3 linked regions of the Pelodiscus sinensis genome follow. The protein of the gene in region 3 binds, or shares a complex with, the protein of the main gene of each other region. Links are inferred from orthologs where the notes say so. Each region holds a gene or a part of one and is shown on either strand. Other genes may lie near its edges.

The links.
Region 1: BAZ1A (region 3) and CHRAC1 share a complex: the UniProt entries of both Homo sapiens proteins name them as parts of the CHRAC ISWI chromatin remodeling complex. The link is inferred for Pelodiscus sinensis from reciprocal best matches to the Homo sapiens genes BAZ1A and CHRAC1.
Region 2: BAZ1A (region 3) and POLE3 share a complex: the UniProt entries of both Homo sapiens proteins name them as parts of the CHRAC ISWI chromatin remodeling complex. The link is inferred for Pelodiscus sinensis from reciprocal best matches to the Homo sapiens genes BAZ1A and POLE3.

What each region holds. Positions count from the first base shown.
Region 1 is NC_134712.1:7,846,854-7,856,871, reverse strand, and holds the start of CHRAC1 (chromatin accessibility complex protein 1), read left to right. Parts: upstream 1-6,154; 5' UTR 6,155-6,216; coding exon 6,217-6,354; intron 6,355-10,018. UniProt on the Homo sapiens protein: Forms a complex with DNA polymerase epsilon subunit POLE3 and binds naked DNA, which is then incorporated into chromatin, aided by the nucleosome remodeling activity of ISWI/SNF2H and ACF1.
Region 2 is NC_134732.1:3,226,951-3,237,188, reverse strand, and holds the start of POLE3 (DNA polymerase epsilon subunit 3), read right to left. Parts: upstream 4,287-10,238; 5' UTR 4,233-4,286; exon of another isoform or gene 3,947-4,232; intron 3,175-3,946; 5' UTR 3,159-3,174; coding exon 3,093-3,158; intron 2,303-3,092; coding exon 2,217-2,302; intron 1,165-2,216; coding exon 1,046-1,164; intron 555-1,045; coding exon 412-554; coding exon of another isoform or gene 400-411; exon of another isoform or gene 302-399; coding exon 236-301; 3' UTR 1-235. Other genes in the region: C22H9orf43 (uncharacterized protein C9orf43 homolog), read left to right, coding at 5,489-5,666, 7,684-7,861, 9,278-9,377. UniProt on the Homo sapiens protein: Accessory component of the DNA polymerase epsilon complex. Participates in DNA repair and in chromosomal DNA replication.
Region 3 is NC_134714.1:48,391,755-48,401,689, forward strand, and holds the start of BAZ1A (bromodomain adjacent to zinc finger domain protein 1A), read left to right. Parts: upstream 1-5,290; 5' UTR 5,291-5,449; exon of another isoform or gene 5,450-5,453; intron 5,454-5,557; exon of another isoform or gene 5,558-5,728; intron 5,729-6,104; 5' UTR 6,105-6,140; coding exon 6,141-6,253; intron 6,254-9,935. UniProt on the Homo sapiens protein: Regulatory subunit of the ATP-dependent ACF-1 and ACF-5 ISWI chromatin remodeling complexes, which form ordered nucleosome arrays on chromatin and slide edge- and center-positioned histone octamers away from their original location on the DNA template to facilitate access to DNA during DNA-templated processes such as DNA replication, transcription, and repair.

The sequences.
Region 1 (10,018 bases), on a different chromosome or scaffold from region 3:
GCGGGTCGGGGACACTCACAGCCCCGGCAGGAACCGACTCCGCCTCCTCCTCCAGCCGGGCTCGCGCAAGAGGGGGGGGGAGGGAGCGGAACTGACGGCAACGGCAGCCCTCAACCTCCACCCGCCTCGCAGGGTGACAAAGGGCGCATGCGCCTGCCGCTGCCTTCCACCTGCCGTTGCTCCTGAGAGCGAGGCTACCAGCAAGGGAAAGGGGGCAGAGCGGGCGGAGGGCGAGGCATCCAAGGGGCGGGGACATGTGGGCGGGGCTACTCCCAGGACGCCCCGCCCCGCTCTGCTGTTTGGTGACCTGAGGTCTTGGCTGGGGGAAGTAGTAGAGCATGGGTTCCCAAACTGGGGGGCGTGCCCCTGGGGGGGAGAGAGGCAACCCAGCCACACACACCCCCATCAATCCCACCCCAAGTTTTGCTGGTATTTTTTTTGGAGGGGGGGGCGTGAATGTTTCTCAAAAATCAAAAAGGGGGCGTGATGCGGAAAAGTTTGGGAACCACTGCAGTAGAGACTGAAGGGTGACTCCAGGGAGCCCTAGGAGCCTCACTAAATAGACCAGGAACCCACTGTGCTGGGTGCTGCACAGACACAGAACAAAGCCCCAGAGAGCTGACAAGCGATAGTGGCTAGTTATAGAGGCCCATGGTGACCACAGTCATTTTTTGTATGTATTTGTTCAGTGACATCTGATTTTATCAGTGTATCAACTAGTACTTCTACTTTTAACAGTTTTGTCTCCATCCCAGATGCCTCTTACACTGCTTTGCTAATGAATAACAAACCTGTGTAGCTGCTAATCCCTCAGAGCCACCAGCCTGTGAAGTCACACCTGAGTGCATTAATGCTATGCCCAGCCATCCATGAATAAGTACAGAGCAATACCCCCATATCTGTCAGTCCCAAGCTTTGACCACCAAAAATGTGTTGGGTACTGTTCAGTATCTATTGAATTGTATACACTCATAAACTAGTCAGACCAACAAAGAGTAATGAATATACATCAGCACTGCTGAAATCAAACACACTGATTTCGATAAAAGACGTTTATTAGCTAGCAATCGATAGATTTTAACTGATTTACAAGTGGTAAGACATAAAGGTCATGTAACTCCAAGGCATTGAGATCACAGAGAAGGGACAGTGAAGTCCACTCTACTGCCTTAGCTGAGTGTTTGCTGACTTTTAGCTCATGCTATAGAACAGAGGTGAGGAATCATTTTTGGGTTGGTGGCCACTAACCCACAGAAAAATCAGTGAGGGACTGCACATAAGTGAGAAACCATTAAAAAAATCACCCCTCACCAGAGTAGGCTCCCCAGTGCTGCTGTGGACCAGCCTCTGTTTGTGGGGAGCTCAGATCACAGACAGGGTCTGCTGCCAAGGGGCTGCTATATCAGGCTACATCTACACTGCGTGTTTTTTGTGGAAGAGGAAATGCAAATGAAGTGCTCATTTGCATATCTTGCTCTCTCATTTGCATATATTCTTCTGATCCTTTTTGTGGCAGGCTGGGCAGAAGAGGAAGGAGAGCTCAGTGGTTTGAGCATTGGCTTGCTAACCCAGAAGTTGTAAGTTCAAACCTTGCGGGGGCCATTTAGGGGTCTAGGATAAATCTGTCAGGGATGGTACTTGGTCCTACTGTGAAGGCAGGGGACATGACTTCTCAAGGTCCCTTCCAGCTCTATGAGACAACATATCTCCAGATATTATATGAGAAGAGGTTTTTACAATAAAAAGCCCCATGTAGATGGGGCCATTTGTCAGGAAGAAACCCTTTGCGCAAAAGCCTGTAAACATCATTTTTTGAGGAATAAGGGATCTTGCACAAAAGGTTTTTTTTCCGACAAATGGCCCTGTCTATACAGGGCTTTTTATTGCAAAAATCTCTTCCGCAAAAATGATTGGAAGAATATATGCAAATGAGAGTGCAAGATATTCAAATGAGCACTCCATTTGCATTTCCTCTTCTGCAAAAAACCCACCATGTAGACGTAACCTCAGAGGCAACAGCATGGGGCAGCAGGCAGCAAGTTTGCATGGGGAGCTGGTTTTTAAAATGGCTCCCCTGATGGACCAGCTCTGCCTGCCACCCTGCAGTGCTGCCTCTGATACAGAAGCAGAAGCGCGAGGTGACAGGGAGCTCCCTGGGACAGAAAGTGGGGCAGAGAGCACACTGGCTGCCAACCCGCCCCCAGTGACTATCAAATAGTTGTGCAATCACTAATATTTCATGCCGTTACATGACTATTCCATTACACAATATCTAACATCCTTAGAGGCGACGCCACCTGTACCTCTTATGCCACAATGATGTTACAAGCTCCAGGATAAATGCTGGTTCTGGTTAACTAGCCCCTGAGCACCCAAAACTACTCTCTGTAGGAATTTGCTACTTAGAGTATACTGCGCATGCTCACATGAACTGACCATGTCTGGAGTTTGTCTGGAAATGGGTGACGGGGAGGGATCACGTGAGGATTACCTGTTGTTACCTTGACTGAGGAAGGTTTCTGATCAAAGGGAGCATAGATTTCAGCAAGCTCCTGGAGTAATATCTCATTGGAGATGAAAGGGCATGTTCAGACAGCTATTTTGAAGTCTGTAGGGTAAAGATGAGCCAGAGGCTTTATATTACAGACCAACTATCTTAATTTTTGTACCTGGGAAGTTACAGGAACAAATAATTAAGCAATCAGTTTGCAAACATCTAGAAGAAAATAAGGTGATAAGTAACAGTAAGCATGGATTTGTCAAGAACAATTCATATCAAACCAACCTGATGGATTTCTCTTACAGGATAAGAAATCTTGTGGCTCGGGGGGAAGTGATAGATGTGGTATATCTTGACTTTAGTAAAACTTTTGATACTTTGACCGTCTTGTAAACAAATTAGGGAAATGCTACCTACATGGAGCTATTATAAGGTGCATGCATAACTGGTTGCAAATTCATTCCCCGAGAGTAGTTATCAGTGGTTCACAGTCATTGCTGGAAAAGCATAATGAGTGAGGTCACACAGAGATCAAGCCTGGGTCTGGTGCAACTGTTCATCAATGATTTAGATCAGTAATTCTCAAAGTTCACAATGGGCCCACTTTGTTTACCTAAAGGGTCTGTAGCCACAGAGCCTCACAGCTGCCATTGGCTCTGGTTTGCCATTTACAACCAAGGGGAGTTACAGGAAAGCAGCAGCCCGGGCCATGCCACTTCCCGCGGCTCCTCCTGACTAGAAACAGCAAACCAGAGCCAATGGGAGCCGTGAGGGCCAGAGAAGAGCAATAACAATGGTTAATGGTCTAGGAAAAAATGACCTATGATGGAAGATTTTAAAAATTGGGTTTGTTTAGTCTGTAAAAAGAAGTCTGAGGGTACATGATAATAATTTTCAAGTACCTAAAAGATAGTTATAATGAGGAAGGAGAAAAATTGTTCTTAACCACTGGGGCTTGACAAAAAGCAATGGCCTTAAACTGCAGCAAGGGAGGTTTAGGTTGGATGTCAGGAAAACCTTCCTAACGCTCAGGTTGGTTATCCACTAGAAAAAAATTAACTTGGCAGATGATGGACTCTCCATCTTTGGCCATTTTTAAGAGGTTAGACAAACACCTGTCAGGGATGGTATAAAATAGATCAGGGGTTGGCAACGGACAGCACGCATGCCATAAGTGGCATGTGAGTTGATTTTGAGTGGCATGTGCAGAGGGAGCTCAGCCCCGCGCTGCTGCTGGTGCCTCGTGGCTGGTGCACAACCGCAGCACCAGTTCTGGGCGGGGGGCAAGCAAGGAGGCTGCAGATTGGGATGTGCACAAGCGGCCAGTACTGTCCCCCTTCTCTGCCCACCCAACTTATTGCAGAGCTGGTGAAAGCAGGTGAGCCACTGGTGGTGGTGGTGGTGGCACACCTAGGCTCAGCTGGGCAAGCTCCTCCGGGGGCCAGCGCCTGGACTTGGGCCACATGGCTGCGGCAGCTACTCCTCCAGCAATTGGGGGCAGGACTGGGATCAGGGCTGCAGCAGCTGCTCCTCCAGTAGCCAGGGCCAGGGCTGCAAGGCAGAGCAGGGCTGCTCCAGGGATAGCCAGTCTGCATGGAGAAGCGGGGCTGCTCCAGGGGCTGGAGCTGCTCTGGGAGTGTCTGGGCCACGTGATGGAGCAGGGCTGCTCCAGGGGCCAGAGCTGCTCCGAGGGCAGCTAGGCCACATGGGAGAGAGGGGCGCCCCGATCTGGCTGCCTGGGGCAGGTTGGAGTGAGGTTGGGGTACAGCAGCCGCAGGCTCGCTTTGGGGCACTGTTTTCCTGCTTTGGAGGGGCGTGTGTGTGGAACTGCCTTCCAGCCCCTCTGCTGCCATTGCCTGGGAGTCCTGACCCCACCTCCTCCAGCCCGCTGCTCTCAACCTTTTGCACAGCCCCAGCCCTGCAGCCCCAGCTCTCCCCGCTCTGCTCGCCTCCTTTTCTGCCTTGTGGTGCCCCTGGCAGACAGGCTAAAGATGGCGCTGAAGTCATGCCCAGCCACCAGCACCTCTCTAGAGGGTGAATGCTGCCCAGGCTGCGGCTCTGGGGCTGGGTGGCGGGGGCGGCTTAGGCAGCGAGGAAAACGCATAGGGGTCTCCTGTCCCAAAGCTGTGTTGGCCCGTAGCACCTGAGTCCCTGGCAGGAAGGTGAGGGTGCCATGGACTGGACCCTCATGGGACCCCACCCCCAGCAGGGCTGGACACCCTGGGGTCACCCATCCAACCCCTGCCTTGCCCATTTCCCTTACCCCCCACCCCAGCCACCCTGACTCCAACCTGTGCTGGTTATACAGCATTGTGCCCCAGCAAGATTGGAGCCCACACCAGCTTCCTATGTAGAGGGGGAAGTCCCAAGACTCCACACCACATCCAGCTTCCGGGAAAGTACACACATGCTGCTCCCCCCCCCCTTCCCACAGGAAAAGCTGGAGCAGAGCCCAGGGCAGGAGACCAAGTGGGTGTGCGGTGGAGAGAGCCCCTCCTGGGGTGGGGGGCAGGAAAGCAGCCCAGGGCAGGAGGGTTAAATCTTGGCATGCCACTTCAGAAAGGTTGCTGACCCCTGGAACAGATGGTACTTGGTGCTGCCGTGAGTGCGGAAGACAGTTATTTGTAGGAATTTACTACATCAGGTGGTAGATTTTTGTACAATAGCAACGAGGAGTCCTGTGGCACCTTATAGACTAACTGAAGTGTTGGAGCATAAGCTTTCGTGGGCAAAGACCCACTTCGTCAGATGCACGTCTACATGCATGGCTACATGCATCTGACGAAGTGAGTCTTTGCCCACAAAAGCTTATGCTCCAACACTTCAGTTTAGTAGTCTATATAAGGTGCCATAGCACTCCTCGCCGCTTTTGCAGATTCAGACTAACACGGCTACCCCTCCGATACTTGTACAGTAGCAGTTTCCTACAATCCAGTAACTCCTATAGGTGGCATATTTCTAGGGTTTCCGTATTTGAACTTTCAAAAAAGAGCACACCTGGAGAGGGAGTTGAAGCAAAATGCAGGACAATGTAGCACTTTAAAGACTAACAAGATGGTTTATTAGATGATGAGCTTTCGTGGGCCAGACCCACTTCATTTGATCTGAGGAAGTGGGTCTGGCCCACGAAAGCTCATCATCTAATAAACCATCTAGTTAGTCTTTAAAGCGCTACATTGTCCTGCATTTTGCTTCAACTACCCCAGACTAACACGGCTACATTTCTATCACTGGAGAGGGAGTGTATCTGTATCTGCCAACACATGAATACAAGGTGAGTTGGCAGATACTGATACACTTTTTTGAAAGTTCAAAGATGGAAACCCTCACATTTCTACACAGAGCAGTTTCAGGAACCCAACAGTGAGCAAGGGCTAGCCACAGGGATTTGCTCCCTCAGCTAGCGGTCTTCCACCACAGCCCATCGCCTATCAGCAACTGCTACAGGGAGCAGCCTCCTACGCTCCTCCCGCGGAGCCTCTCAAGGGAGCTTCAAGCAAGGGGCGGGGCTGATGCATCAATTGTAGCCCTTCCCCTAGGAGAGCAGGCTGGATGACGCCAGCGAGGGAGAGGTGCATCCTGGGAGGTGTAGTCCTCCGCCTGCCCCCCGCGCGCAAGAGCGCACGAGCAGAAAACTACCACTCCCGCAGGGCTGTGCTTCCCGGCCTGGCGCTTGGAACGACGGTTGAGGCCGGGGCGCTGAAGCGGCGCGGAAAATGGCGGCGGCGAGGCTGAGCGGCGGAGACAACCGTCTGGTGTCGCTGCCCCTCTCCCGGATCCGGGTGATCATGAAGAGCTCGCCGGAGGTGTCCAGCATCAACCAGGACGCGCTGTTCCTCACCGCCAAGGCCACGGTACCGGGCTCGGATCTCCTGGCGGGGCCGGGCGAGGAGCTCGGCGGGGCTGGGGCCAGGCCCGAGTGGGACTCGTGCTCTTTGGTCGCTGGCACCAGGCACGCTCGTGCGGGGCGCGACCTGCTGTGGAGAAGCCTTGGGCAGCATCTGCCCGTGGCTGTTTCCAGCCCCTGGGGGGGGGAGGGGCTGAAAACGGGGGGGGGGGGGGGGTGCCAGTGAAATCGCTTAGTCCGTTTCCTCAGGGAAGGGGAGGTTGTCCTGACTCACTAGATGTCTTGGGTTGCAGCCTGGCGCGTGGCAAAAATCGTGCCAGGGATTGAGGGGGGGGGGGTTTAATAGCAGCCTTCAACTTCCTGAAGGGGGGTTCCAAAGAGGATGGAGAGAGGCTGTTCTCAGTAGTGACAGATGGCAGAACAAGGAGCAATGGTCTCAAGTTGTGGTGGGAGAGGTCCAGGTTGGATATTAAGAAAAACTATTTCACTAGGAGGGTGATGAAGCACTGGAATGGGTTCCCTAGGGAAGGAGTGGAGTCTCCATCCCTAGAGGTGTTTAAGTCTTGGATTGACAAAGCCCTGGCCGGGTTGATTTAGTTGGGATTGGTCCTGCCTAGAGCAGGGGGCTGGACTTGCTGACCTTCTGAGGTCTCTTCCAGTTCTATGATCATTGCCCCTCCTGCTTCCATGAAGCATAGAGTATCCGTAGATCAAAGTCTGAGGCCTGTCTGCTCTCCCTGTTCATGAGGGTTCAAACAAAAGCTCAGGACATTCATGGAGGTTAGGTCCATCAAGGGTTATTGGCCAGGATGGATAGGAATGGTGTCTGTATCCTCTGTTTGTTGGGAGCTGGAATGGGTGACAGGGCGTGGCTCATCTGTTTTGTTCCTTCCCTTTTGGGCACCTGCTATTGACCGCAGGATACTGGGCTAGATGGACTTTGGGTCTGGCCCAGTATGGCCGTTCTTATGAGGAATCACAAATGCGCTGGTGTTAGAATGCCAGCCAGCTCCTTTTCTGAGTTCCTCAGATTTTTGTGTCTTGACCTAGACTTCCACAAGCATCTCCAAAGGGGGAAATTACATGCAATTTTAGAAGTGCTTTTTGGATCCCCTTTTCAGCAAAATAAACCTGACTAGGCACAGGCATTTAGTTGAAAATCATTGTGCACCTCCTATGCATGCTGCCAGGGAAAGCAGCACGTGTAGAAGCTGCACGTAGGGGATTACCTTTTTAGTAACTGAACTGCAAGATCCTGTACCACAATATTATTATCTGAATATTGACAAGGTTTCAGTTATCAAAATTCATCAGATAATTGAGACATTCTAGTAAGACCAGTGCATGATCTAGTTGATCATATATGTTCCTGGGTGTAGCCATGGAATACAGCATTACACTTTTCGCTTCTGCTAAACCTGGTCTACACTAAAATGTTAGGTAAGCCAATTTAGAGTCAGAGAGTTGTTGTTAACGGTTCTAAATCCTGCTGGAAAGGGATAACAAGTGGAGTTCCTCAAGGGTCTGTTTTGGGACCCGTACTGTTCAATATCTTCATCAATGATGTAGATATTGGGATAGAGAGTACGCTTATTAAGTTTGCAGATGATACCAAACTGGGTGGGGTTGCAACTTCTTTGGAGGATAGGGACATAATTCAAAATGACCTTAGCAAGTTAGAGAAATGGTCAGAGGTAAACAGGATGAGGTTTAATAAAGAGAAATGCAAAGTGCTCCACTTAGGAAGGAACAATCAGTTCCATACATACAAGATGGGAAGCGACTGTCTAGGAAGGAGCATGGCGGAAAGGGATCTAGGGGTCATAGTGGACCACAAGTTGAATATGAGTCAACAGTGTGATGCTGTTGCAAAAAAAGCAAATATGATTCTAGGTTGTATCAACAAGTGTGTTGTAAGCAAAACTCGTGAAGTCATTCTGCCGCTCTACTCTGTACTAGTTAGTCCTCAGCTGGAGTACTGTGTCCAGTTCTGGGCGCCACATTTCAAGAAAGATGTGGAGAAATTGGAAAGGGTCCAGAGAAGAGCGACAAGAATGATTAAAGGTTTAGAGAACATGACCTATGAAGCCAGGCTTCATGAACTGGGCTTGTTTAGTTTGGAAAAAAGAAGATTAAGGGGGGACATGATAGCGGTTTTCAAATATCTAAAAGGGTGTCACAAGGAGGAAGGAGAAAATTTGTTCCTCTTGGTTTCTGAGGACAGGACAAGGAGTAATGGGCTCAAAGTGCAGCAGGGGAGGTTTAGATTGGACATTAGGAAAAAATTCCTAACTGTCAGGGTGGTCAAATATTGGAATAAATTGCCAAGGGAGGTGGTGGAATCTCCCTCTCTGGAGATATTTAAGAACAGGTTAGATAGACATCTGTCAGGGATGGTGTAGGTGGAGCTTGGTCCTGCCTTGAGGGCGGGGGGCTGGACTCGATGACCTCTTGAGGTCCCTTCCAGTCCTATTATTCTATGATTCTATGATTCTATCCTCCTCTATAAGAAGCATAAGACATTTGTCTGTGTAGTTAGGGTGACAAAGTATTCCTGTAGACATTGTTCCTTGCATATATTGGCTGTCATTCTTGTCAACTTCAGGGTTCTGGTGCAGCCATGAAATTGACAAGAAAGTTGGCTTCCTGCTGGAAGCATAGCTGTGCCTGGCAGGGAGCTCTGATCCCCGAGCCTAGGGTGGCTGCCCTGTTTCTGTCAAGGAGCCAAGAAGCCCAGTGTAGCTGCCCCGTTTCCAGGGTGGAGCTGAAGTGGGAGGGCATCCCAACTACAGCTATGTGCAGAGCTAAGATCGCTGGCTCTCAGCCTCCTACCCTGTCCCTCTTATGTTGATGGAAGTGCTCCTGGTGGAGATATACACCACTGTCAGAAGGACAGTGAGACTGTGTCTACATTGGCATGTTTTTGCACAAAAGCGGGTGCTTTTGCGCAAAAACATGCTGCCTATCTACACTGGCGGGGAGTTCTTGCGCAAGAACACAAGTTCTGATGTGTGAAATCAGTGCTTCTTGCGCAAGAACTATGATGCTCCCGCTCAGGAATAAGCCCTCTTGCGCAACTGTTCTTGTGCAAGAGGCCAGTGTAGACAGGCAACATGAATTTCTTGTGCAAGAAAGCCTGATGGCTAAAATGGCCATCAGAGCTTTCTTGCTCAAGAGAGCGTCTACACTGGCACGGATGCTCTTGCGCAAAAGCACATCTCTTGTGCAAAAGCACATGCCAGTGTAGACACTCTTGCGCAAATACTTTAACGCAAAAACTCTTGTGTTAAAAGTATTTGCACAAAATCTTGCCAATGTAGACATAGCCTGAGTGATTATGTGAACCACCCTAGCAATCACTGCAGTGGCTTAAGTTGACTTGACTTAAGTTTTATAGTGTGGACATGCCCTGATATAAAGCTCTGTGACATTCAGTGGAAGTTGCCCCTTGGTGAGTGATGGACTTAATTTGTACTAAATGTAACCTGACGGTCTCTTTCATTATTTCTTTTAATAGGGAAGGAGTCTTTTATCACTTAAGTAGTGGAAACTAGCAAGCATTTTTGCATTATTTAATTACACCCAGAAATATTTTCTTGATATCATCTATCCCATTAGTGTCTGCAGAAGGGATGACAGACTTGAGTGAGTGACACACGTTGTTAGTCTAA
Region 2 (10,238 bases), on a different chromosome or scaffold from region 3:
AAATTCAAACTCCGCCCTAGTAAGCAAAAACAAACTTATTCAATACTTTTCTGCACCGCTTTCCCTGTGGGAATCTTTGAAATTCTATGTTGCATCACAGAACAAATCCAATGTTAAAGAGCAGTCAATATCCTTGGCTTTTCAGAATCTGGAGCGAGTACCAAGTGCCCCATGCAATGGCGAAGAGGTGGCCTTTCCACGACAGAAGCTGCATCAATCTCATCAGGATGCCTGCTTACACCTGGGAATGAAAGCCAGGAGGGATGGATCCCATAGGAGCAGCACAGAACTTTGCTGGAAACTGGAAAGCAAGAGGACACTTCAAGGTTGATTTACAGTATGTATATGTCTAGGAGGGCAGCCCAGCCCAGCCCACATGCCTGTGTGTCTGCAGGAAGCTCAGTTATCCACCTCTTCATCATCATTTTGTTCCTCCTCTTCCATCCGTTCATCATCTTCATCATTCTCCTCCTCCCTGCTCTTGTCTTGTTCCTCAGAGTCTGCCTTCTTGTCTTTCCTTGCTTCTTTCTTGCCTTTTTGCTCACGCCTGTAAACTAACAGAACAAGAGAACTACAATTGGACATATGTATGTTATTGTATCCATTGTAGGGACAATCTAGATGTGCTCCCCCATGCTATGACCCAGGGTCTCCCCTTGCTCTCCAGGCTTATAAAAATGGAACACTGAATCTCTTTATAGTAGCTACTCATCCTGTTATCTGAGCTGTGCTGACAGGCTCTAGAGGAAGTTATGTTAAATGATGTTTAGCAGAAAGATGGGAAGAAGGTAACAGGAATTCATGTACATTACACAGAAGTGATGGGGAAAGACAGAAAAACCATGACTGTGCATCCTTAAAATACAGTTATGAAATTACATCATAGAAGTTCTGGTAAACTACATGTTCATATGTCCCCATTAAAACTGCAATGAAAAATTTTCTGACAAAAAAAGGGAGGTAAGATTTGGATGTCCAACCCTCAGGGTAAATAGGACTCATTGTCATTAGGACTAATTTAATATACAATTAAAGAACAAGTTACCTTCCAATGATTCCTTCAAAGGCGCGATAAATCGCTGGAACTCCATTTCCTCCATGGCTGAGAGGACATCTCCAGCATTCAGTGTTTTCCTTTTCCCCTTCACTGCAAAGTTATTTGCGCTAGTTAAAGTGAGGAAGCAGAATAAATATCAAATAGCAAATCAACCCCAAATTCCATCTGTTCAAAGCAGCACAGCCAACTTAAACAATTACGGCTCTCTGAAATACTCAATTGCTATTGTGATAAGCAGCACCTAGGATGACTGACCAGGAAACAGATTAAATTAAAAAAAAAAAACCTTTGTTTATAGTGTGCATTTAAGTGTATCTAGTCAGTTTCACGTTAGTGAGGTTACCATTTATATGGGTCTTTTAAACTACAAGAAAAAAAAAAACATGTTTAAATGTGGTTGTAAAAGTGGCAAGATGATTCAAGGACACTAGCAAATATGTAGTTACTACATGTATAATTTAATTCGTTTTTTAAAAGTTCACTAGTATTCAAACGTCCCTGTAAAATTAAAAGGTATGCCATCAAACTGAATTTCAACTGCTATAGATTTAGAGAATTTAAGTGCAGGAGGAAGCTAAATGCTATAAAACTCAATGAGTAATTTAACATACAGTATGAAACATGCCTAGTTAGTTACTACATTATTTAGGTTAGCACTCAGAAGGGAAGTCATAAGGCTACAATGGATTCACATAACGCAAGAACAAGGAGCCCTTATGTAAATTAATGTTTGCTATAAAAAGGCTTTATAATTTTATGACCAGTGTTTTCTGAAAAAATGATAAAGTGCAGTGATAAAGGTAAATCAAATGTGATGGTTAAGGATGTAAGTGATCACTACCGGGAACAGGCAATAACCCAGCCCCATCTTTGTAGGCCCTCAGAATGTATATACTGGGCAAATAACTGATGGCATTATGAAGCACTGATGCAAAAGAAAGTATTTGCTACTTAATCAAAAACTATTTTTAACAATCTTATATTACACAAAGGTCACATTACAAACTAAAGCCACATTAAGCTTTATAATGCTTCGTGTACATGAAAGATAAACATGTCTTTCATTACAGGTAGTGAAAAAATTCCATCAAAGAGAGCCAGCAGAAAGGCTAGCTACAGATCAAATGGTCCATTAGATCAGGTCACCAGTGATGCTTACCATGATGTGGCATACAACACAAACACACTTGCAGCTCGAGATATTGCACTCCGAGCTTCTTTGGAAATGTTCACTCCCTCAGGAAGCTGGGAAAAGGGAAATGCCATTTTATCAGATGCAATTCAAGTCATATGGATCTGGAGACTTATCAAGTCCAGTCTAATGGGACTGAAAGTCACCAGTTTGGTCAAATCATCCTGAGTATTTGCAGTAAGGATGTAAAATCCCATTTAAACAGTTAACCAAGGTTTAACCAGGTAATTGATTAAGCAGGATTTGGGGTTGAGAGGAGGCTGCAGCCCAGCTGGAACGGCATCCCCCTACTCTGTAAGCAGGGCTCCTGGGTCCGTGAGTGGCTGCCAGTTCCCACCCTGGCCTGTGGCATGGTGGGTTGGAGCAGCCCTCCATCTACTGCAGGTCACGGGCAAGGGGCTACTCCCTGGCACCAATTAACTGTTACCTGGTAAGCATCACCCGTTAAACTACAACTTAAAAAAAAAAAAACGCAATAAAGATCACAGAACAGTATTTCTCTGTTTTTCCCAATTTACCTTGAGCACCTGGCATAAAGAAGTTCATTTTACTATGTAGTCAGATTTCCCTGTTCTGGTATGTCTCTCAAAGCAAGGGGCAGAAAAAATGCTAAAAAAGTAGCTGTAAAACCACAAGAGCTAACAAGGGATTTTTTTAGCAAATGATTAATTTCAAATTGACAGTTTTCCCATCAAACTGTTTTACCATCTACAACACAAAAGTTTAAAAAATTACACAGCAAAGGACCCAATTTATGTGTAACTGGCACACTGTACTCTATTGATGTTTTCAGTCTTTTAATTCAATCTTCTTGAATGCTTTTAGCTCTCCAGTGATACTCACTGCTTCTTTAATTATCCGAGTGATGACAGCATTGGGCAGGTTCAAGTCCTCTGGTCTTTCTGCCATCTTTGAACACCTAGAACTAAAATGAGAACTATTCAAGCTATTTTTTCTGCTTACCAGTTCTGCTTATAATACAACACGTCTCATTATTATAGTAGAGCTAGGCAGTTCTGCTATGCAAAGTGCCCATATAAAAGTGACACCAGCTTACTCAGCAGCTCTGCCCCATACATCTAGTTGCTTGTCAATGAGAAAATATCTTTACTACTCTTTATTCCCGATACCTCTGCAGAACCAGCAGAGGTAAAAGGGATTCCCTGGATTTTTTTTTCTTAACTCCCCTGTGTATTTAAAAAACAAACAAACCCCAGAGTGGTCCTGTAGCACCTTAGAGACTAACATTATGTGTATAAGCTTCAGGGGAGTAGCCCAGTTAATCTGGACAGGATGAATTCAAACAACACACAGTCTGGTAGCACTTTAAAGACTAACGTGCTACCAGACTATCTGTTGCTTTTGTCTCTATATTGCCATGAGCTTCTGTGGGCGCAACCCACATTTTCACGAGCGGGCGGCGCCCACGATTTTATATTTAAAAGCACCGGGCGGCCGAGCAGCCCCTTGCAGGCTCACAAAGCAGCAGAGGGGGCCGCGAGCGTGCGGGGGTCCGACCCCAGCGCCTCAGCGCTCATGCCCCGTCTACGTGTCCCGGCAGAGACGCTGCTGAGGTGTCCGCGGGCCGCGGCTTGCCCCAGGGTGCCCGGGTGCAGGCCAAGGGGCTGCAGGGCCCGGGGGGGGGGGGGTTCAATGTCAGACTCCCCCCCCCCGGAAGCGAACCCAGCGCGTGACACCTGCGAGTGCTGCGCGGGCTCCTCAGCGGGCGCGGCGGGGTCAGGCCGGTGGGCCCAGAGCCCGGGGGGGGGGGGGGGGCGCAGGCAGACCGCCCCCCCAGCAGCGCCCCTCCCGCGGGGGGAGCCGCCCTTCCCGGCGCTGACAGTGGCGGGGGGGAGTGGACACCCGAGGGGGGGGCAGTGGAGGCCCGGCCCGCGGGCCACTGGCTCCGTGTCCGCTCCCTGCGCCCCCGCCCGCGTGCGGACCAAAGGCCCCGCGAACCGAACCGCGCGCCCAGCCCCTGACCTCTCACCCCTCCCAGCATGCAGCGCGCGGGCGACAGCCTCCCCCGCCCCCGCCTTCTTCCCGGCGTGCACCGCGGCCGCACCCGCCTTGCCCGGGCGCGGGTTGTTGCCTGGCAACGCGTCTAGCGGGGCCGAGCCTGGGCAGCCGCGGGCAGGTGAGAGGCGGCCCCCGCGAGCGCAGGGGATGTAGGGGGGGGCCTGGGCAGTGCGGGGGAGAGAACGGGAGGGGGAGCGGATGGTGGCTGGATGGGGGGGCAAGAGGGGAGCGGCTGGGGGAGTGGCCGTGGGGGCAGAGGTGGGGGGGAGGGGAGTGGCCGTGGGGGCAGAGGTGGGGGGGAGGGGAGTGGCCGTGGGGACAGAGGTGGGGGGGAGGGGAGTGGCCGTGGGGACAGAGGTGGGGGAGGGGAGTGCTTTATACCCCGGGCTCTGGAATCCCCCTCAGGTGGCAAAGTGGGAGCTGGGTGACGTGATGCTGTTGCATTGGGAGCTTTTTATTCCTGCGCAGCACTGAGGACTGTCCCGCTATGCTGTCAACTCACCCCATGAGAAGCAGGCCACAGAGAGGGCTTAATTGGCCAGGCAGCCTTTATTGCGCTGCTTCCTACATATATTTTAATAATACATTTCTAGCACATATATATACATTCCTTTTTTTGTTACGATATGCAGCGTACCATCACCTTTTTTTGGAAGCACTCTTTGCTTTCTTCCAGCACAGCCCCCATCCGGCCCTGAGCACTCGCTTTTCGCCAGATGGGAGTCTGCTCGGACACGCAGCAATTAAAGGGGCCCCTGCGACCGCATTTCGGCCCCGACCTCCCAGAAGAAGCACTATCTATCTATCTATCTATCTATCTATCTATCTATCTATCTATCTATCTATCTATCTATCTATCTATCTATCATTCTTTGTACACAAGCTATTCATGCATCGTGCAATGATGTTCGGGACCAGCAGGTTTCCATGTGATACATATTATGATAGCAGTTTGTTGGCGGTAATCAGTGTGTCAGACGTAAAGTGTGTTGTAGTGTGGTGAGCCCTCTGCTAGTTGGCATCGAGGGGTTCCCAGGATCACAGTCACCTAACAAGACAACCCAGAATAAAAGTAGGAAATTATGACTACTTCATGTGCTGTTATTTTATGGTAATGTTACGATTCTTGTTAACATTTCTCACTGTGTTCAGTTCTTCTGTTTTTGCAGAGTATTCAGACATCCAGTATTGCCAGCTTACTGCTATTCATTAATGTCTGGATGGTTGCAAATATGGTGACTGCAGGTGTCAGCCAGTGGGACGAAACCATCTGTGACATGGCTGTCTGCCAACACCCACAGTGCTGGGACACTATAAGGAGGATTGAACAGGGACAGCCTCGGATCCGTTTAAGAAACTTTGACACACTCTGCAGGGTTTCTTCTTCAGAAAGCAAAGGTAAACCCAGTGACCATGGCCCACCCTATCTTTCGGCATGTCTACTCTACATAGCTTTTAGCAACACCGCCCTCTCCCTAAAAGTCAGGCAGCGTAAACACTGTTGGCAGTTTTACCTACAAAAAACTTCCACCCCCTAGGAGTGGCTATCATGGACAATGCACTGTTTACACTAGTACTTGCCATGTCAAAGCTTTGCCATTCAGGAGGGTGGGTTTTTAAGCACCTGTGAATGACAAAAGCTTTCTTGCGCAATTGCCAGCGGAGACAAGCCTGAGAGGAGAAACTTCTATTCTGAACTCCATTCATCTGAAGAAGTGGGTTGTGCCCATGAAAGTTCATGATACCATCTTCTTTCATTAGGGTATATCTACACTTACACCCACTTTTGAGGTTTACCAGTTATTTCAAGAGAGAGGTTTTCTCTCGAAATAACCACGTCTTAACAGCGACTGTTATTTCAAAATAGCGCTATTATGCAAATGAAGCATGGGATATTTAAATCCCGACTTCATTTGCCATTTCGAATGTCTTCATTTGCATCCCTCTCTCAAAAGAGGGTGCAAGTGTAGACATACCCTTAGTCTCTAAGGTGCTGCAAGACTATTTGTTTTTTAAGTTTATTCTGAACTTGTTAGCCAACTTCAGGGACAATCCTAGTACAATTTGTTGTTTTTACACAAGTTAACAGGTCAAGTTAGACTGTTTGTAGCTTTTTTTTGAAAGCTAGAAAGGATCATTAGATCATCTACTGTGTCCTTCTGCATGGTACATGCCATAACATTTCACCATCACTCTTGTACTGAACCCAATAACTTGTGTTTGACTAAAGCATATTATCCAGAAAGAAATTTAAGCCTTGATTTGAAGACAGGATACAGAGATTGAGAACCCACCACTGCTTTTGGTAGTTTGTTCAGTCACCCTTAACGTTAAATGTGTGTGCCTAATTTCTCATTTGAATTTATCTAAATTAAATTCCAGTACCAAGTAACATGGTCACATGTATCTGCAAGGCCCTAGTCTCCATACTTCACAGGCTGACCAACAAGTCCACAGGAACATTAAGCTCTATTGTCTCTTTGCTAACGGGCCCTGATAGCCTTAAAGTGTAATCAGTGGGAGTGACTGAAAACAGCAAATATGCATTTACAGATACACAGTTCAATATTCTTAACTTGAGTCTACAAAAATGATACGTGCAAACAAATGAGAGAATCATATTCAGTAAATTGCAGCTTTTCCAATGATACTTTGCAACGTAGTCTGCATAAAGCATATTCCAGTTATGTTATATTTATATTCATAAGCACAGTTCCATAAAGAATATGGACTGCCCCATCACAGTTTTTGAAAGCAATAATCTTTCATGTGAGAGGTAAAACAGATCTTGAGCACTTATGATTATTAAATAGCCCCTGATTTTCTGTGTAACAAGATGTTAAATTTGGTGTCACAGCCAAATTCCAGTGAGGCAATGAAATTTATCCTAACTAAAAGTTCTCCCTGAAATTAGATTTATATTATTCTTCATGTCCTTTCAAACTGTTATGTAGTATTGCCCTGCATTATTAAATAGAGCAGAGGTGGCTGCCCTTTCCATGGTGGGTTAAGCTGGGTTGGGAGTTGGAGGGATTATGAAGCTGAATTAACTATTATTTGTAAAAGTGTCAGAAGAGTAGCCGTGTTAGTCTGTAACTGAAAAAAATTAAAAAACAACTAATGGTCCTGTAGCACCTTAGAGCCTAACAAAAATATAGCTAGTCTCATGAGCTTTCGTGGGCACAACCCACTTCTTCAGATGTTTGTAAAGTATTTTGATCTTCTCTGATAGAAGGCATAGGATTAATTACATTTTAATTAGTTACAATTAAAATGGGCTAATAGAATACTGACAAAGCTGTAAATAATATATAGAGTGACCGTTTAGTTCTAACTAAATATTGTCCATTTTAATTGTAGACTCCTGTAACCTCAGATCCTCAGTGTTCACAGTGTCTTTGCTTTTAATTTGTAGATGAGTTACCATCACTGAAGATTGTAAACTTTCCCAGCAATTGTTCTCCCCAAGAAAGGATCAGATGTTCCAATTGTAACAGAACTATTTCCTCCTTGGCTGCACTTGAGACCTCTTTTTCTCCTTCTCTGTATGAAACTTCAGTCTATGATTTCTTTGAAAGAAATTCTGAAGTCAGGTGAATTGCTGCCAACCTCCAATCTCTGGATGATTTATGAATGTTTCCAGTATTCCCAGGACTAAGACTCTGTAGCAGAATGGTGGCACCCTTGAGAGAGATGGTAGTTCCTGTGGGTCATGGAACATGTTACCCTATCCGTGTTTCATACATTACAGAGCAAACGGTTACCACTTATGGCCCTAATTCTGCAAAAAATTACACATATGCTGAACTTCACACATGTGAGTGGACCCATTGATTTCAGTGTTAACTGTGTGCATTGATTTATACAATCGGGGCTTAAAAATAAATGCCTTTAAAAGACCAGATTACTCTCCTGGAATATAGGATACATTGTTATTGAAATATTCATATTGTTCAAATTAATGCCAGATCCTCATTGTATACATTGCACAAATCCATAAACAGTCCCAACCACAAACAGCTTACAGTTTAAACCAAAAAAACAAATTGAATGTTTTGCCTAGAATCCTGCTTACTTGGTTAATCAGTTAACATTAGCTTAATCTAATGTTTAAGTGTTTAACAGATTAATCCGGATTTTACATCCGTACTGTGTAAGATGTATTATTTGTCTTTAACTGCATCCGCTAACTCATGTAAGGACTACAAACTACCTTCTTGTTGCTAGAATTTCACCTCAAGTTAGCCAACAACAATCTAACAAAGGCACCTTCCAAGAAACTCAGGCTATTGGCTCAGAAGGAAAGCCCTGCAGCTCTTCTATTTTCCTTGCATTATCTGCCAGTTTTTAATATGTATATGAACTATATTCATACTTAGGGCTTATGAATATACAGAGGTTATGGCTCCTGCTGCTCATGTATAACTGATTAATTGCCCCCCCCCCCCCGAGTTAGCTGCACTGATGTAAGAACTACCTGCACTTTGTCTCCGCTAAGATTTTATATCAGGACAGCTTTCTCGATGGAAAAACACACATCGTTTTTGCATGAAGACAAAGCCAGTAAGGCCAAAATTGTGTTTGTAATAGGTCAGGCCCCATTTGGTGCTGTCATCCCATGTGATGAGACCCTCACTGAGCCTGTTTTCTGTGCCAGCTTGAGCCCCCAGTACCCCCGATTTAAAAACTGTAAATGATGGGGAATCTACTACTTGAGCCCTTAAAATCTGCTTTGTATCTATGGACAATGTTTGCAGTTTGCATGCAATACAAATTTTGTATCTGCGTAGGTCTCTGCCTACTACAGCAAGGGCCGGATTAAGGAGGGGGCTAGCCGGGAAGCTGCACCAACCTGGGGGTGGGCATCTGATTGCAGCCGTAAGGGGCACCCGGGATGCAAGAATGGCTCGAGCCAGCCCTGACTACAGCCTTAATAGCAGCTAATGTCCTTTGCATGCTGTTAGTTTGTATTGGTCTCACTGTGATTTTGGTTTGTACCTATATTTCAGTTTAGAAAGAACTCATTTCCCAGGACTGAACTCAGTGGCAGAGTCACGCGTGATGCCACAGAGGGAGATGAGCTTCACCTATTTGAATAAAGTTGGAAATGTGAGTGACAGAGGGGAAAGATGAGTAGTTGCCAGGATCTGCTTTTTACAGAACTCAGGGCTAACTTTTTCAGCTGGTTAAGTGGCCAAAGGTGCCCTCAGTGGGACACTATTTGGGCACTCTTGTGTTATGGCACAAATTAAAACAGCATTTATCGGTGGCAGATATTTGCGGCATGTCTACACTATGTGTGGCTTCCGAAAGAAGATATGCAAATTCGGCTTGAATTTGCATATCTTCCATTTTTTTCATCTACACGGGGCCAAATATTGGAAAATCCTCTTTCGGGGAAAAAAACCAGAAGAAGATACGCAAATTCAAGCCGAATTTGCATATTTTCTTTCGGAAACCACACATAGTCTAGATGTGCCGACAGGTATATGTCTGTAAACATCAATATCACCACACACACAACAAAAACACATTTCCATCAGTAGTAATTTAAATTTACAGAAAGAAAATGCTGCTTCAGAACTTTGTATATTTTGATACGATATTGACACTGTTTTAACAGCTATAAAGCTTTAAGTTTTTAAATCTCAAAGGGTATGTCTACACTGCATTCCTCTTTCGAGAGAGGAATGCAAATGCAGCCAAGCGAAATTGCAAATGAAGCGCAGATTTGAATTTCCCGCGCTTCATTTACATAATCGTGTCCGGCCGCTATGTCGAAATACCCTATTTTGAGATGAAAAACGCTGTGTAAACGCGGTTATTTCAAGAAAAAATCATTCTTTAGAAATAACCCTTAAACCTCATTATATAAGGAGAACGGGTTATTTTGAAGGAAGGGTTTTTTCTCGAAATAGCCTCATCTACACAGCGTTTTTTATCTCGAAAATGGGTATTTCGACATAGTGG
Region 3 (9,935 bases):
TTTTCTGAGGCCCTGCCCCTATTCACCCCTTCTCCGAGGCCTCACCCTGCTCACTCCATCCCCTTTCCTCCCAAAACTCATTCACTTTCACCAGGCTGGGGTAGCGGGTTGGGGTGCAGGTTCTGGTCTCGGACCAAGGGGTTTTGAGTGTGGGAGGGGCTCTGGACTTAGCCCAGGGTGTGGGATTGGGGTCCAGAGGGGTTTCAGGGTGCAAGCTCTGGGAAGGAGTTTGGGTGCAGGGGGACACACATCTGGGGCAGGAAGTTGGGTGTAGGAGGAGGTTCAGGGCTGGGACAGGGGTTCAGGAAGCAGGCTCTGTCTGGGCACTGTTTAACTGAGACAGTTTCTGGGTGGTGGAGCAATGAGGTTAAGGCAGGCTTATTCCTGCCCTGGCCCTGCAACACTCCTGAAAGCAGCTGGCATGTACAGCAATGGCTCTATGGTGCCATGTGCTGCCCCTCATCTACAGGCCCTGAGCCCACACATTCTACTGGCCATTACTGATCAGTGGGAGCTACAGGAGCACTGTCTGCAGGCAAGGACAGCATGTGGAGACCCCCTGCTCTGCCTTTCTCAGGGGCTGCAGGGACATGCCAGCTACTTCCATAAGCAACAATTACCACAGGGAGAATTACTCCAGCCGCTATAGGTTAGACATTTTAGAACTCACTACTGAAAGAATTAAATTTAAGTGTAAGAGAGAAACTAAAATTATGAAATGCACAGACCAGTCAAAAACCAAAATAACAGACTTTGCAAGTAGTACAAGAAGTAACAACAACCCCCCCAAGTTTGTGCTGGATTGGGAGATGAGCATAAAGGACAGTGCATGTTTGTGAGAATGACAAACACACACAGTGTGTGAGAGTGTCAGAGATTTTCATTGCCAACCTCCCTCCATCCCCTTCTTTTTGTAGAGATGGGGTACAGAAGTGGGGGGAGAACATCAGCATTCCCTGTTTTCTCCCTCCCACCTCCTGCACAGCAAGTAGGAGGCTCCCAAGGTGGCAGCTCCAAGGCAAAGGGCAGGAGTAGCATGAGGTGTAGGGACAGCATTTGATAGCATCCTAACCAAATCAGTCAGGATCACCTGTCAGAGGCTCCAAGATCTATCAATCTATTCCAATCCACTGGTTGGTGACCATTTCTGTAGCACCTTAAAGACTAACTGTTTTATTTGGACATTAGCTTTCGTGGGTAGAAAAACACTTCATCAGATGCAACAAATAAATCTGTTAGTCTTTAAGGTGCCACAGGACTCCTAGTTTCTGAGAGATGTAGCTATACTCATGTAAATTGTTAGGGAAGATCCAGCCTGAGTGTGCTCAAGTTACTGCAGTCCAGTTAGGCTAGCTCAATTGATAAAAGCATACTGGAGTTACACACAGGGTATGACCCACTTCCTCAGATCAAATAGTGGAAGAAAATTATTTTCTTCCACTATTTGATCTGAGGAAGTGGGTCTGGCCCACAAAAGCTCATCATCTAATAAACCATCTTGTTAGTCTTTAAAGTGCTACATAGTCCTGTATTTTGTTTCAGCTACACCAGACTAACACGGCTACATTTCTATCACTATTCTACACAGGGTATGTGATTTATAGCACAAGGTAATGGGATTAGCTGCTGATGAGTTGTAATTTGGGTTGTTGCATTCCCACAGTACTACCAGCTAATGCACCAGGATCACGGGAGGGAGCTTCAACTAACCCCTTCTTGAGTTTAAAGCACCATTTAATCTGACCTAGAGTTTTTTGTGTGGGGACATAGATGAGTTAGGTGTAACATTCCAACTAACTGTGTTAAGAAATCACAACCTGGCTGAGTTAAGTCTATTGAGATAAATAGAGAGAAGTTCACACCTCTCCAAACTTTTGTTTCATGCTCTTAACGGATAGATGTTATTTCATCAGCTACACTAAGACAATGTCTACACTGGAAGAGGTAAAGGGATGGCTAAATAGTGAAAATGCAGAGTATTGTGACCACACTTGCAGTGGCTTTCGGAGCACTGCACTGTGGACAACTATCCCACAGAGCACCCCCTCCTCTTCTGCAGCTCAGGGCCGGATTAAGGGGGGGGCTAGCCAGGTAGCTGCCTGGGGCGCCAACCTCTGGGGGATGCCTGATGGCAGCTGTAAGGGGCACCGTGCGCCGCCCCTTAGAGCTGCCATCAGGCACCACACGCCCAATTGCAGCTGTAAGGTGCACAGCGCGCTGGGGCTGCGCATGCGCCGTGCAGCGGAGCCGTGCATTCATCACGCACCCGCAGCCCGGGGCGCAGGAATGGCTCAAGCCAGCCCTGCTTCTGCTGCTGACTTTTATGGGAAGGCAAAAGGAGACCAGGGTCATCCTAAATCATTTCACGTCCCAGCAGCCCATGTGCTTCTGTCTGTATTTGGCCCCATCTTTGAACAGCTTTTGTGCTGTGTGCTCTGCCTCCTTGGTCTGTGGGAAAGGATCCCCAGCTGTTGAAGAAAATGCTGATAGGTCTCACTAACACGGTCAGAAATGACACCAGAATGTTGCAAATAACCAAACAACATGCTTTAAAGGCAGGTGGGATTTTTTAAAAGATTTAAAGAAAAAATGTGCAAGTATTTTAAGACGATTCCAGAACCTCAGCACAGTGCATCTATGATTAACCTGTATATGCAACCCCCATAATTTCATATTGCCATAACCCCTATTCTTTCTTTTCATTACCCCTTTCATTGCTCTCATTTATTATGTTAAGTCTTAGATTGGATGATTCACCGCAAAATAGAGAAATAAAGGAACAAAACCTCACTGTTACCATCCTTCCTTTCCATGCTTGTCCCCACCTTCTACCTGCCTGGCTCTCCCCAGTGGGAGTCCTATTCTGCCCTCCCCCCAAACTCCCTGAAGTCCCATGCACATTTCTACCTCCAAGGCCAATTCCATCCCTCTCTTCCCAGCCTCCCCGTGCTTTGTTGCCAGACTTGCCCAACTCCCTTTTCACCCCAGCTCACTCACATGGAGAGAAAGTTTTGTTCATAGTGCCAGCCCCACAATCTCTGGCAGGAGGAGACTCCGCTTCTCTCCAGATGGTGGTGGTCCAGGCTGCTGCACCCTCAGTGACAGTCTGTGTGACTACACACTCCTGGGGTGGGGGGTCCAGGGTGGAGATGGAGCCCTTAGCTGCCTGGCTGAAGAGTGAATGGGTGACAGGGAAGGGCTGAAAAGCCCACTGGCCAGACACTGGGGAGGGCCAGAGGAGTCTGTACTGTGGGCAAAAAAGTGAAGTCCCACCACAGCCAGCAAGGGGAAGCTCTAAAATCTTGGCTTTGTAAAAGCAGAAATAGTTCAAAACTCAAAGCTAAATATACCATCCAACAGCTTCACTGTATCCTGAATAAATGCAAACAGCACCTCTGATACCACAACCCTACTACTCAACCCTCACAGGGAAACAGCTGAGAGAATAAATGAGAGGGAGGAACAAAGAGGAGGGAAAGAGAACGAGAGAGAGAGAGGGCAAAGGAGACAGGGAAAGGGAATCCGTTTTTGATGTCATAATTCTATCAGATCATGAATTTTTCATGGATGCCAACTAGTTATAAAATAATGCAGTACTGACAACCTTAAATGTTCAAAAATCATAGTATAACTCCAGAATAATGGAATTTTAATAAGTTATTAATATAGGGCTTATTTTATTTCCTTCTGTCTTTTCAGTTTTCAGGGTGTTAATTTTCCAGCTTTTGTCTGCAGCCCTCAGTGGTAGAAACTTTTTCTTAAATTAAAGCTGAGATTCCCATCTAATTGTGTCTCCAGGAGTTAGAACTTTAAGAAAAATGTGATATATTGCAAAAGTTGCCATGAAATCACAAGAACTAGCAAAGCTGAATGCCATTCCCACAGTATTTGTTTTTGAAACACTAAGATTTTGCTGCAAAACAGACAAAAACATGATTTCAGTTGTGCTTATTAAATACTTTTTAAAAAATTGTTTGCAATCACATCTCTGCCGTCTACTACAAATTAATTTAAAATGGTAAACGAAGGCCAATGGCAAATGGGGAAAATAAATGGGTAGAATTGGAGCTGACTTGTGGGCATCCTATTAATAGTTTAAGCTAAACATTTTATAAACTAAATGCAAGGAATGAACATAACTTAAAATGTCAATGACCCAAATCAGATTTTCTACCCATAACAAAAATTCAAATTCTATGATTCTATATAATGGCAACTTTCATTTAGCCTTTTATCCTGCAATTACACTAGTGCAGACCACTACACTTGCATGAAATGTCAGTGAAATTAGGGATTCTTGATAAGTACAGGGACTGTACAAGTACACCTATTGCAGGAACAGGACTTTAGATTGTATATTCCTATTTGGGAACTAGCCCTTCAAATACTTATGAATGTGACTGATTTACTGAGTAAATAAAGTTATTAATGTGTTTTGCAGGACTGGAACCTTAGATGTTAAGATCATCAGGGTATAGCATCTGGCAAACCTGAGTGTTTAATCAATGTTTAAAATACATGTATTGAAATAAAAATCAATTTAAGAATAACAACAATAGGGTGTGCTTTGGTAGGGTAGTACCTAGCTATTCTTAGATCAGCTGAGCTGAAGGTAGCAGGTCATGTTTTGTGGCCCAGAGACCCCTAAACTGTGTATAGGAGTTACACTTGAGATAATTTTAACCACAGTATTCTTGAACACGGTTCCACCTGAACTCCTCTGGAAATGTATCATTTTGGTCTTAAGTAATGGAAGAGAGACATTTCTCCACAATTGTGCTAGCCAACACTAAAGCCTTTGAGATTGCAATTTATAGGAAAGAGATTTTTATAAAGTACTGATATTTCTATCCCTGATGAATTGAGTATGCAATGGGGCCAGTGACTTTTCCAAGGTTAAGAAGTAATGAGATTTTGTGTGAATGCACAGAGAGAATTTTTGAAGTAGCAGCCGTAATTTCTGAAAGGAGAAATGTGCTACTGTGTCTGAAACGTCTTTATTCCTGTCTTTGAATACGAATTCCCCTTATCAGCAGCTTTTCCTCGTATCCAAGTGGCTTGTCATTTAAAACCCAACCTGCTTGGGTACCAAGCAGTGAGGAGGATCCAGGTCGTTGCCCCAGATCGGTCACCCCCTCACGCTATAGATCTTTAGGCTGATAATTCAAAAATGGAGGATGAGTCCTCTCAGCCATTAATTAATAATGTAGCTCTCTGTCTTCCTGTGTGACACACACGAGAAGGCACTGAGCGGCCAATAAAGATGTAGGGTAGAGAAGTGAAAAGCTCCTCCCAGCAGCTCTTCCTCATTGAGCTGAAGTAGATCAAAAACTTCCCAGGAGCTGAGGGGGAAAGACAGCAGAGCAAGAGGAGGAAAATAAGCAAGGAGGAGAAGATCTCCGTACCCCCCACCCAGGCAAAAAGGGGTCGGGACCCTATTAAACAGACGGTAGGTAAGAGGAGGAAGACCTCTTTATATACCACTCCGACGGGCGGACAAGGAAGTTCCCATTACGCACCCGCCGGGAATGAGAAGGGTGACCCCACTATGCCCCTCCCGGCCGGCAGAGACGCGGACGTAGGGGAGTCCCACTGGCCACTAGCCCGGCAGGAAGCGAAGGAGGAAGAGAAGTGATCACCGCTCCCCTCCCCCCCGGTTTGCTGAGTAGGGGTTGGGAGGAGGCGGCGAAGGGGGAGTGGAAGTTGGTGTCCGACCCGGCGTGTGCAGGTCAGAGGCGGGGAAGGGGGTGACCCCGTGGCCGGGGAACCGGTGGAGACAAAGCGCGATCGCAGCAGCCGGGGTATCCCCGAGCCGAGCACGTTGTGTGACTCCAGGGGGAGTGGGCCGCCTCCGCCTGCTGCTCGGCGTCATGGCCCCATTGTGAGGCAGGAGGAGGAGGCGGGGGAGGAAGGATCCGTAGCTCCCTCCTCGCAGTCCCAGGCAGGCAGCGGCGTGTCAAGCACACAAAAGGCTGCCGCCGCCGCCGGATTCCCAGTAGCGCCGCGACCCGAGCTGCTCCCCTGGGGGGAGGGACACGCCGGGCCCCGCTCCCTCCTCCCGGGCCGCCGCTCGCACTCACTCTCCTTTTCCCTCCAATTTGAAGCGGGCCGGGGCAGGAAGGAGCGCGCGGAGCGGGGCGATGCCGCTGCTGCACCGAAAGCCCTTCGTGAGGGAGAAGCCCCCCGCCGACCTGCGGCCCGACGAGCGCGTCTTCTACTGCAGGGTCACCAACGAGATCTTTAGGGACTACGAGTAAGAGACGACCCCCCCCCCTCCTGGTCCGCTTCCCCTTCCCCGGGCGGGCCGGGCAGTTTAACCTCCCGAACGGCTGACATCTGGGGTGGGAGGGGATTCCCTGCCCGGCGTCCCGGAGACACTCCGCTGGGAGCGCTGTGGGCGGCGAGCCCTGCGTCTCCCCGGCTGGGGAGGGCGCCCCGCGGAGACCGGGATCCCCTCCCCGAACCCGCCTCACCCCCGGGGTCCCGTCAGGCCCCACGGGGAGGCCAGTCGCCACCCTGGCTCCTGGGGCGGCGGGGAAGCAGCGGGCGAGCTGCCTAGCGTGCGGTGTCACTATCCGGGCGCCCCGGCCGCGGGCCGCCAGAGGCAGCCGGGAAGTGAAAGTTGAGCGGGAGGCAGTAAGTGCCTGGCCCGGCCCCCAGCTCCTTCAGGGGCGCCCGAGCCGCATGTCGGCAGCTACTAGGCCTCGCTGCGTGCGCCAGCCCCGCCCACAGCCCCCAGAGAAGGGGCACAACGGTCACCGGGCCGCTGGCGCTGAACAGCCGCGCGCCTAACTCGGGCTCGGCGGCGGCCGGGCCGCGGTTTAAATAGCGCCGTGGGGGAGCGGCGGCCCCTGAGTGCGGGTCGAGCAGCCTGACATGTGCTGCTGCCTCACTATTGTTGTCGTAGCAGCCGGGCCGGGGTTGTGGGGGGCGCACCACGCGGAGCCATTTCAGCCCCCACCCTCTCATTAACCCTTTCCTTGTTCTCGCCCGGGGTTGCCGCGCTCCTGCCGCGCCGCCAGCCTCGCCCCCGTCAGCTCCAATGCACTGCCGGGTTGAGAGTTGCTGAGTGACCGTTTGAACTCCCTCCCAGCTCCTGGTCTTGAACGTGCCCTGTCTCGGCGCTTGCATCAAGCAATAGTTGGGGGGTTCTTTCATCAGCTTTGCAGCCCTGACACTCGTCCTTTGAGACTGAGGAGGAGGATTGCTGGGGGCAAGGATGTTGTATCTGTCCCTAAGGGCATTAATGTCAGGGTATTATAGTAGCATCTTTAATTCCACTTTGCAGGCTTTCTGCTCACAGCAGCCTCTTAAGGTAACTGAGATTTTCCGTGTCAGAGGAACGCCAATTTAATGCAGTAAAAATCACCCAAAACAAACCCAACGCAGTTTCCAGTAGTGTGCAAAGCCGCAGGTTTCCCCACCAATATTTATAGCTTGACAGCCATTTTTCTATTAGAATGTATTTCCCCTGTTCTTGTGTAAAAGACCAACAGAGATTGTGAAACAGTGTTGTCAAATGTACAAGACCTATGCAAAAAGCAGGAAAAATTATATTTCTCTGTTCTCACTCACTTATGCTGATTATGATTATTTTGTAGCAGCAGTGGGTAAAAATCTTTAGAAAGATAAGATTTTGTTTTAAAGCTGACTCTTTTAACTTTACAATCTGATCCAACATTACTTATAAGATATGAATGTTAATTAATCACTTCCACCCACCCACAAAATGTTCCCAAAAATCAAATTTTGTCTTACGTTTTTTTTTTAAAATAAATACTTTCTTTTGCAGTATGTAAAATTAGAGCACATGTAAATTTTACCATGCTTGGACTTGTTTTTGCTACTCAAATAGACTTCACCAAATAATATCTTAAGAGGAGTTGGATTGAATAATTTTGAAAGGGTCCTTGTGTTTCCTAAATTGTAGTGGAGGAGAGAATTAAAAAAAAAAAAGCCCGTAAAGAAAGTTTATTAAGTGTAGTTCAGAAGTGTCTGCATTAACATATCAAGGATATAAAAGGCAGGAACATAAGGACCTACGTTTTTCTACAGAATATAAGATTTCTCTTAATTCCACTATTTTGAAAATGTCTTTCATAAATAAAATTAGGGTGCATTTACACCACACCTAAACTTGAAATAAGATACGCAATTTGCACAGTGTAAATTGTGTATCTTATTTCAATTCTAATTTGAAATTTGGTACATCTGCACAGCGCCAAATTTTGAAAAAACCCGCACTATTTTGAGACCTCTCTTAACCCTTGTGGAACAAGAGTTACAGGGATGTTGAAATAGTGTACCCGTTATTTTGAAAAATATTTCAAAATAACAGGCGGCTTGTTAAGATGCGGAGTAGCTATTTTGGGATACTTCTGGTATCCCAAAATAGCCATGCTGTCTAGACGTACCCTTATTGTTATCACAGTATTATAACTGACTCTCATTAACAACCCAAATTAAAATCAAGTGTATATGTGTAGTTTAGAAAGACACTCAACAGAATGAAGCTTTAGTACCTCTTTCATAACTGCATGGAAGAGTTGTAAAGATTAAAAAAAAAAAAAAAAAGTCCTTCAGTATTTGGAAAGGGCCGAATTCCATGTTTTAATCTGGTTCCTAGGCTGGCTGGATCTAGAAATACATACTACACTCAGTTCTCAATTACTCTTTGCTCAGATCTGATGGCAGCTTGCAAGGATTAAATATGGCCTTCATGTACTAACTAAACTTTTAGTTACTATTTGTCATATTAGATATCACTCAGTGGGAAAATACTCTTTCACTTTCTGGACCATTGCTATATCTGCACTCACCTACTCTATTTCTTTTCCCTTTCCTTGATCTTTGATGGTTAGGCTGAGAAAAGGGAGTACAGCAATTCCTCATTTAACACGTGCCAGCTTAACACGTTTTTGTGATAGCATGATTTTTTTTTTTAAGGGAACATTTTTTTAATTACATGACTGTCCCCGGAATAACACCATTTCCCCAGGCGGCCCGTCGCTGGCGGCTACGCAGGGCTTTCCCTGCCTCCCTGCAAAGCGGCAGAGGGTTTGCCGCTCGCCATGCCGTTCCCCGGCGACTTCCTCCCCCCGTTCCCCTTCGCTGGATGCAGAGCAGGTCCTGGCAGACCCATCACAGGGGCATACTCCCAATCCAATCCCCCTCCCCTCTCCTCCCCTTCCCTTCCACACAGCCAAACACCTTCCCTCCCTGCTGTAACCCAGTCCCCTTTCTCCCCCAACCTTATGTCCCGGTCCCAACAGACATCACCACTTGAAACGCAACCCCCACTTTTTCCATTATTTTCAATGGGAAAATTGACCCCACATAACACGTTTTCACTTAACACGATCATTTTCTGAAACATATCTATAGTGTTAAATGAGGAATTACTGTATGTTTTTGTTTTAAATCAAGTGGGCAATGTGTTTTGAAATGTCATTTAACACCTTTTACTGTCATAGTTTAACACCTTTAAAATTGTGTTAGCTGGTTGTGATGTATTCTAACTGAGAACTGAAGATCACCATCCACTGTGTTTTTAAAGGTGGTAGAAATCTAGTCTCTACTAGGGATGCCAAAATTAGTTTATATTGGCAAACGTGTAACTGCTGACATTTTCAGTAGTTAAACGTTTACATGTGGGAAGGAGGTAGGTGACTCCATTCCCTTCCCCTGCGCTGCTGCCTCAGATACAGGCTCATTGGTTAATCATTTACATGTTTACACTATCATATCCCTAATCTCCACTAATTGTAAAGTGATATTTAAAAGTGCATTTAAAAGTGCATAAGCTAATACATTTGAAAAACTTTTTTTTTCACAACTGCACAATAAGCCAGTGGAACTCATTGATGCCAGATATTATTGATGCCAGTGGTTTAGCAGAATTCCAAAAATAGTTGTATGTGTAAATGGCATACATT